2 linked regions of the Canis lupus familiaris genome follow. The protein of the gene in region 2 interacts with the protein of the main gene of each other region in a biochemical or structural test. Links are inferred from orthologs where the notes say so. Each region holds a gene or a part of one and is shown on either strand. Other genes may lie near its edges.

Evidence for each region.
Region 1: the proteins of TXNIP (region 2) and SLC2A1 form a complex in vitro, tested with the Homo sapiens proteins (2 studies listed by BioGRID). The link is inferred for Canis lupus familiaris from reciprocal best matches to the Homo sapiens genes TXNIP and SLC2A1.

Annotation. Positions count from the first base shown.
Region 1 is NC_049236.1:552,928-556,731, reverse strand, and holds part of SLC2A1 (solute carrier family 2, facilitated glucose transporter member 1), read right to left. Parts: intron 516-3,804; coding exon 355-515; intron 217-354; coding exon 1-216. UniProt on the Homo sapiens protein: Facilitative glucose transporter, which is responsible for constitutive or basal glucose uptake. Has a very broad substrate specificity; can transport a wide range of aldoses including both pentoses and hexoses.
Region 2 is NC_049238.1:59,433,892-59,438,237, forward strand, and holds the start of TXNIP (thioredoxin-interacting protein), read right to left. Parts: upstream 2,916-4,346; 5' UTR 2,627-2,915; coding exon 2,377-2,626; intron 1,866-2,376; coding exon 1,793-1,865; intron 1,683-1,792; coding exon 1,535-1,682; intron 1,316-1,534; coding exon 1,213-1,315; intron 1,080-1,212; coding exon 823-1,079; intron 731-822; coding exon 574-730; intron 466-573; coding exon 314-465; intron 173-313; coding exon 137-172; 3' UTR 1-136. UniProt on the Homo sapiens protein: May act as an oxidative stress mediator by inhibiting thioredoxin activity or by limiting its bioavailability.

The sequences.
Region 1 (3,804 bases), on a different chromosome or scaffold from region 2:
ATGCCCAGCTGGTGCAGGGTGCCCAGGGCCCCGCGAAGGGCCGTAGGGGACACCTCCCCCACGTACATGGGCACGAAGCCTGTGGTCAAGCCACAGTACACACCAATGATGAAGCGGCCCAGGATCAGCATCTCAAAGGACTTGGCCAGTTTCGAGAAGCCCATGAGCACAGAGGACACGAAGGCCAGCAGGTTCATCATCAGCATGGAGTTCCGCCTGGGGGTGGGGGTCACAGGTCAGGTGGGTGCCTGGATCTCCCCAGATTCCCAGGGGCTAGGTCACAGGCAACACCCCGAACGGGCAGGGAAGTCTCTCCCCCCCTCCCTGGCCAGGGCCAGGACCCCTTCTGCTCACCGGCCAAAGCGGTTCACAAAAAGGCCCACAGAGAAGGAGCCGATCATGCCTCCTACAGAGAAGATGGCTACAGAGAGGGACCACAGCGTGGTGAGCGTGGTGGGGGAGATGCTCTCCTGATAGCGGTGGATCCATGTCTGGTTGTAGAACTCCTCAATCACCTACAGGGGGAGAAGCAGCCCGCTGAGCGAGGTGTCGGGCCCCCCACTCACTGCATGTCCTTGAGCCAAGCCCCTGCCTGTTGTGGGCCTCAGTTTCCCCAGGTGAGAAACCAGGGGCTGGGCTCCATCTCGAGGAGTGGTGCGGGCTGTCATGCTTCCCCAGGTGTGGCTCCCGGGGCCCTGTGGTGTCACATGTCCCACAGAACTTGCTGGGGAGGCCAGCAAATGGCCAACGGTGGACGGTCAGGCCCAGGGCAGGAAGATGTTCAGGAGAAAGTGCTTCCCCCCACTTGGCCCCTTTCTCTTCAAGATGCCTGAGGCCCTAGGCTCCTGCCACCTGGGCACTCTCCCCAACCCCCCCTGCTGGGGAGGAAATACAGCTGGCCAGCTGGCTCCAGATGCTTGGGGACAAAGGGAAAGGCAGGCTCGCTGACTTCACCCTCACCCTCGGCCCGGTGTGACCACCTTGCGCTCCAGCCGGGCTCCCCAGCCTCTCCTAACTGCTCCCTGAGCGCCAGGCCCAGCTGCTCGTGGGGGTTCACCCTGAAGGACCCATGGCCTCCTCCCCCCTGCCAGGTGCCCAGCTGGGAGGGATGGGGAAGGCTAAGGACAAGGAAGCAGTTCCAGGAACTGGAAGCACCTGCCCCAGGCGCCTGCCCACCAGCCCTGCCCCACACAAGGGGGGCTGGGCCTGATCCACCGGTTCTGCCCGAGAACACTCACCCTACTCTCAGGCGACACCGACACACACCCAGGGCCACAGGACTGGACTGACCCACCCAGCTGCCCGCAGCGCTGGGCATGGGCCCAACATGCCCAGAAACAGCTTCCTGTGTACACGCACCGTCATACACATACTCGTGCTCAGTCTGAATGCTCTGGCTCCCGCCGGTCACAAACCTGACTGGCCCTCTTCCCTTCAACCACTGACAGCTCCACCTCGGCTCCTTGTGCCCCCAGCCCACCGCCAGCACCCCTTACATGACCTCCTCCACTGCTTCTGGAACCCCCAATCGTCCCAAGCTCCAGGGGTCTGACGGAAGGCGGTGGGTAGCCACAATTGCCAAGGGGGAAACCGAGGCCCTCAGTCCCAGAAATGCTCACGGTTGTGATGGGTCCTTGGCCTCTGTTTCCTGCCCTGCTGCCACGGTCTATCCCAGGTCTGCAGACACCCGACAGGAGGCCAGGCTCCAGGGGTTAGGATGGGTTGACATGGGTGTGGGGAGGGGAGGGAGGTGGCCCTAATTATCTACTTATGGGTCCCGAGAAGCCAGACAGCGCAGGGGTGAGGAACCTAGACAACTCTGCCACTGCGACTGAGGGCAAATCATGTCATCTGGGACGGCGACAGTAGCAGGATGCATGTCATAGTGCTGTAAGGGATTAATGAGACAGAGAGTGCTTGCACAGTGCCCAGCATCGTCACCGAGTCAAGGGACGGTTCTGGAACCAACCCAAGGGCAGTGCAGACCACTGACCAAGCCCTACCAACCCTGCAGCCCCTAATTAAAAATCAAGGCTTGGGCCAGAGATCAGCCCCCATGTCCCCACCTGCCCCCATCTCTACCCCAGCTCTAGGGCTCGTTTCCACACTATCCATGGTTACTTGGCCCAGAGCGCCCAACCGGCCACCTTACCATGCTGAAACCTTTTGAGATCCAGCTCAAAGGGTCCCAGAAGTCTGAGGGCAGGGAGCCTACTGGATTCACACGGGGGCCTATCCTGATGAGTGGATGGAAGGGTCAATGAGGAGAGGGCCTTACTTAGGCTCTCCTCCTGGGAGCCCCTGCTTCCGCTGGGGGCAGAAAGGCAGATTTTAACAAAACAAAACAAAGTGCTTCTGTTCTTCAAGGGATAGAACCAACCTCAGAGAAGGACTGGTTGGGAGAAGTAATGCTCCATTTATCAGGATCTGCAGAGAACAAGCTGTCCTGGACAAGGGGACGGTCCAGATAAATGACACTCGCCCCACTGAGGACCCATCATCGGGGTGGAAATCTCTCTCCCTTCTGCCGATCTCACTCTGCTGCCCTTGGGGCTCTCTACAGGGGCAGGGAGAGGTATTTGTCCCAGATAGTCTTTAATTTTTGCCTCCTGTAGTTCTCAGGGTCTCCCTGTGCGCCCCCGTGGTTCAGATGCTATCTCAAGAGAACTCTCCACGTATCATTCTGATTTTTGCCAAGTCGTCTGCTAATGGAATTGCCTGAACTGCGTGCAAAGAGTCAACAAGTGCTGAGTAAGGCCTTACTACCTAAGTGAGCTACAACATGTGAGGCTGAGCTTTCAGGTCTTTAACCCTCTTCTTGAGGCTGGCTGGAGATGTTGAGGCAGCCAACAAGAGGACCACATTCCCGGGGGCTCTCCAGCCCCGGTTAAGGGTGCGCTGGTGGTAACAAGTCAGAAGGACCAAGCCTTGTCCAGAGCTAGCTCAGGGGCTCATGAGCAACCCTGCTACTCAGACCACTTTATGGGGGTGGGTGAGGGTAGGGAGCCAGCCCCTTTTGCCTTCCCTGTGGCCTCAGGCTCGTCCTTTCCACCCCGCAGCAGCCCTTCCTGGCCAGGCTGAGGCTGTGCTGGGGCTTCCTGCCTTTTGATCTGACACCTGACATTTCTGGGAAGAAGCTAGGCTTGGTTTTCCATTTCTGCTGCTGGTGTGGGAACATTGTGTCCTCTCGCTGCCGGGGGTCTATGCCCCACATGGGGCTGAGCTGGCCCTTGGCCCGGGAAAGGCGGCAAGTCCCTGAACAATCAGAAGAATCCTCCATGGGGAGGAGTTCTGGGGTCACCTTCCACCACTGGCTGACCTCCCCATCCATCCCAGCCGCAGCTGAGTGCCCTTACCTGAAAAAGAGCCTATTCCCTCAAAAGGAGCCCACAGACCCAGTCCCACCACAGGGTCACCGGCAGCCTCCATGAGCCTGGCTTGTGCTCCCGAAAGCTCGCTCCTCACCTGCTCCTCACAAGCCTGGGAGACACGCTCGCTCCTGCCGCCACCCCCACGCAGTCAATCACCAGGTCCCGCCAATTCTCCCTCTGGATCTGTCCTAGTCTCTACCCACGCAACACCTGCCCTAGGCCTCACCTGGATTCTGCCCCTGACGCCTCCCATCTGCTTCCCAGGACTCAATTACTCCCCATCAGGGCACCAAAGGCCTGCACGCACAGGCGCCAGGCTTGGCCATCCACCTGCCATCTCTGCTCCCTACCCCCCATCTCCCCAGCAATGATGGCAATTTTTAATTCACTAATATCTGGACCAACCAAAAAACACAGGGGCTCAAGGACTTTT
Region 2 (4,346 bases):
TACACTGGGGAGTCAGAGGCTGGGGTGGACCCATACCCCAACTGTAGAGACTGTTCAGTCTCTGAGAAAGTAAGAGTCCAGGAAGAGAGGCAGAAAGAAACATGTTAAGTACAGCTGCTTCTTTTCTTCCACAAGTTCACTGCACATTGTTGTTGAGGATGGAGGGATCCACCTGGAGTGGGGGGAAGAGAAACAAAAGAAACGATTATTTTAGTTTGGGTAAGAACTAAAACAACCACCCAGTTTAGCAGTCCTTCCCATTCAACTTCCTGTAAGAGGCTTAGAGGACAATTTGTAAAATGGCAATGATCACCTCTGTGTAAGTCGGTGGTGGCATGAACTTGAACTCAGGAGCATACATAAAAATAGGGCTGTCTTGGGAACCATCTGTGTCATCTAGTAGAGGAGTAGTGGGGCTCTCCAATCGGTGATCTTCAGGAATGATATCCATATAGCAAGGAGGAGCTAGAGAAAACATAGGCATAAGAAGTTTGGCCAAGAAATGCCTGACCGTCACAATTTCACAAACCCAAGCAGGTCAAAAAGGAAGAAAAAACATTAGGTCTGGCTCACCTTCTGGGGTATCGGGAATATTGAGATCTATCCAACTCATTTCAGAGCTGGTTCGACTGGCCATGCTCGATGTCCGACTGCTCAGACCTGATCTGCTACCGATTACCAGGGGCAGATCAAGGATGACCTTCTTGGAGCCAGGAACACTAACATAGATCTAGAAAGGAAAAATGACAGTTAGTTAGACTAGAGGTTTGGAGAAATGACTATTTTGACAGATGAACAATTTCTTGGACTCCATTCACTCACCAATAAGGAGTATTCAACTCGAAGGATGTTGCAGCCCAGGATAGAAGGCCTGATCTTTTGCACCCGAAGGCTCTTGCCACGCCACGATGCACAGGTTCCTGAAATGATGTGATTGCCTCTGACAGATGACAACTTCTGTGTCAGCACTTTGGTTTGACCATTGGCAAGGTAAGTGTGGCGTGCTACTATGGCAGCTTTGGGAACCATGATGCGCGAACATGTATTTTCAAAGTCAGCATGGATGGAAATTTCATCACCTAACAATGATAAAGACAAAAACTTATTAGCTGACGCTTAATACAATTAAGGACTTCTACCCCTATAGCCTGCCCTCACTCCCAAACCCACAGTTCCTGTTTTATCAGACTACCTTTTTAATTAAGTTTTTACCTTCACAAAATCCTTTTCTGTCAATTCGGGCAGAGACAGACACTTGTCCATCAGGAATAAACATGCAGGAAACTTTCTTCTCCTTTTTAGCAGACACAGGAGCCTGTGTTAAATAGGGGTAAAAAGACATTTTGAGACTTTCTAGAGATCCTTCTCTTTTTTCTTTCTACTCCTTACCTAGAATAGGCAACTTTCCCTCCCACCTTGGTAATCCATTTAGGACTGGATCCCCTGAGGTACATCAGTCTAATGCCTAAGACACTTGACTTACGACTTACCATCCCCGAAACCCAAGAAAACATAATTTTTAAATGAACCTCACCATTAAATCAGGAGTGTTGACATCCACTAAATCCATCACTTCAAAGAATTTCTTTGTCTCTTGAGTTGGCTGGCTGGGGCGATCAAGAAAAGCCTTCACCCAGTAGTCTACACACCCATATTTTCCTTTGAAAGATGTTCCCAAAGGCCTGTGTCAAGAAAAAAGAAGCAATCTAAAACTGTTCTCCAAGAACAGGTGATCAAAGGTGGCGAATTTTAGAGATAAGAAAGTCCAAAGATGCATTTAGTAGACACCTACCCCTGAGGAAGCTCAAAGCCGAACTTGTACTCGTATTTGTTTCCAGGTCTCATGATCACCATCTCATTCTCACCTGAGAAGAAAGAAGAAAGAATAGCCCATCAGGTTTCTTGTTTCACTTCAAATGCATCTGTGTGATAAGGAATTCCTGGGCAGCATGCAAGTCTATTGCAGGTCCCCTATTTTCACCCCCTTCTGTTCTTGAGAGATCCTGATGCATTTCGTTGGGCAAAAAGTTTCAAAGCCTTGCAATGATGAAAGGCTCAACCAGGGCAGTGAAGCTACTACCCTCTCAAACCGGAAACGAGCGAAGAATATGCAACTTATGCACACAGAAAACCTTTAAATAGTTAAGGCAGCATACCTCAGGATCACCTTCAGAACAGAACACTGTAAGAAACTGTACAAATCACCCCCCCCCTTTTTTTAGGAGTCTGCAAGTTAAAACTAAAAAAGGAAACAACATACAAGTCAAGCTACTCAACCTTAGCAGCTTGAAATATTCAGCATAAGCTGCAAGCATTCGTTTCAACTCTATTCTCAAATCAGCTTTCACCCTCCCGACAAACAACGGGGCCACTCACCTGTTGGCTGGTCTTCCAGGAGAAGCGTGTCTTCGAAGCGCAGGTATTCAGAGGTCTGTTTGCACTGTTGGGATCCCTGCATCCACAGGACTTTGGCCACTCCGCAAGCCAGGATCCTGACAGCTTTAACTCGAGTCACTTCGCACACCTCCACGACCACCCGGCCGGCCACTTTCTCCCCGCTGCCATACACCTTTTCAGGGTCGTTAAAGACCACCTCAAAAGACTTGATTTTCTTGAACATCACCATGATTGGCTGGGCTGCCTTGACAGTTATAAACGGGGGGGAGAGAAAAAACAAAACTCCAAATCCAAAAATGCTCTGCAAAAAAATTATTTCACTCTTCAACTCTCCGCTAAGATTTCAAAAAGATTTTGGAAAAAAATGTAAGCTGTGGGTGATGCCGAAGGATCCCCGGGGGAAAAAAAAAAAAAATCAGCTTTCTGTTCTTTTCTCCGACAGCTGGAGGAGCGCCCCGACTCTAGGAGAGCCCGAACGGCCCACCCCGCCAGAGGAGACGGAAGGAGAGTTGCGGGGAGCAGCCGGAAACTGCTTTATATAGTCGCCCGGGCTCGCCCGGCCACGCGAGCGCTAGCCCTGAGGCTCGTGCTGCCCTCGTGCACAGCCCTCCCATTGGCTGCCCGCCCCTTGTTTACCAGGAGCCCAACCAATCAGCGAGGCCGCAGCGGCGCGTGGACACGGTGTGCTCCTGGCGGGGAAAATGGTTGTTGTGCACGGCAGCCTCGCCGGGAGGAGGGAGCGGAGGGGCTGCGGGGCCGCCTCCCTCCGCCCGAGGACGCCCAGGGGAAGCCCGGAGGGAGCGGGCCCTCGCGGACCCTAGCATTTATCACGGGGGGTGGCCGTCGGGGGGCGGGTGCAGATGCTTCTGGGGTGGGAGCAGCGTTTGAAGCGAAAAGAAAATGTGCTTATGTGGGAATTTCGTGCCTAACCTCAGCCAGTGCAATAAATTTAGAGGCGACCGTTTATTTCCGGCTCACAAGTCGCAAGTCCGGTGAAAAATAATCCCTTAACTCCAAGAATACTTCAGAATTGGGGCAGAGGCCAGGGAGCTTTGGTGTGACTGTTGAGGAAGAGCCCCTTTGTCTTTCTCTTGCCCCCGGGTCTCTATCCAAACCCCTAAATACCGTGACAGAAAGGGGAACTTGTCACAAATTGTAAAGCTCTTCTCCGTCGTGGGTGGGCAGCGGTCCGGGGCGCTGCTCGGCTTTCGCGCTCCCTTTCCGGCGCCCCCGAACCTGGAAGCCCCTGTACCCTCTCTCTCCGTTCGCTCTGTTCTCCCTGGAACGGAATCAGGGCGTGTTCACATCCTGTTCCTTTCCCCCTCATCTCTTCAGTTTCTACCTGCAAAGTTGGGGGAACACTTTGTTTCTATTCCCCCAGTTACCAATATATTACTCTTTTAGTAAGGTATGTACTTGAAACAAGATGCTTCCCTCGTTTCACTTTCCTCCTCAGCTGCTTGCACTCTTCCTTGTCTTCATCCCCTCTGCAACTCACCAAATCAGAGGCGCATCTCTAAATCCGTAGCCCACACTCCTCACAGCCGAGTTAAAAGTTCTCTTGTTTATATGATCAAAGTGTCAGTAAAGAGATGGCTGCATTCCTGTTTGAAGGAAGAGTTTCCGTATCTTTTAAAAGTGTTTTTCTAAGCCCTTTATTTTAGAAATCCCAGTGAGGAAAGAAGACAAAAGGATCACTGTATTCAAGCTAAAAGAGACCCTGACTGATCACTCTTTATTGTCATTTGTCAGATTCCCCCCTCCCCCCAACCTGGCATGAGATGCCTTAAGGACCTGACTCCTGAGAAATTACTCATAAATGCAAAAACAAACAAACTTGCAGAGATAAAGGCACACATGGACGCACCCTTTTTTTTTTATTTTTATTTTTATTTTTTTTTGATTCTTGGGCCTCTCCTGTCTGTGTTGAAGTATCAGGAGATTTTTAC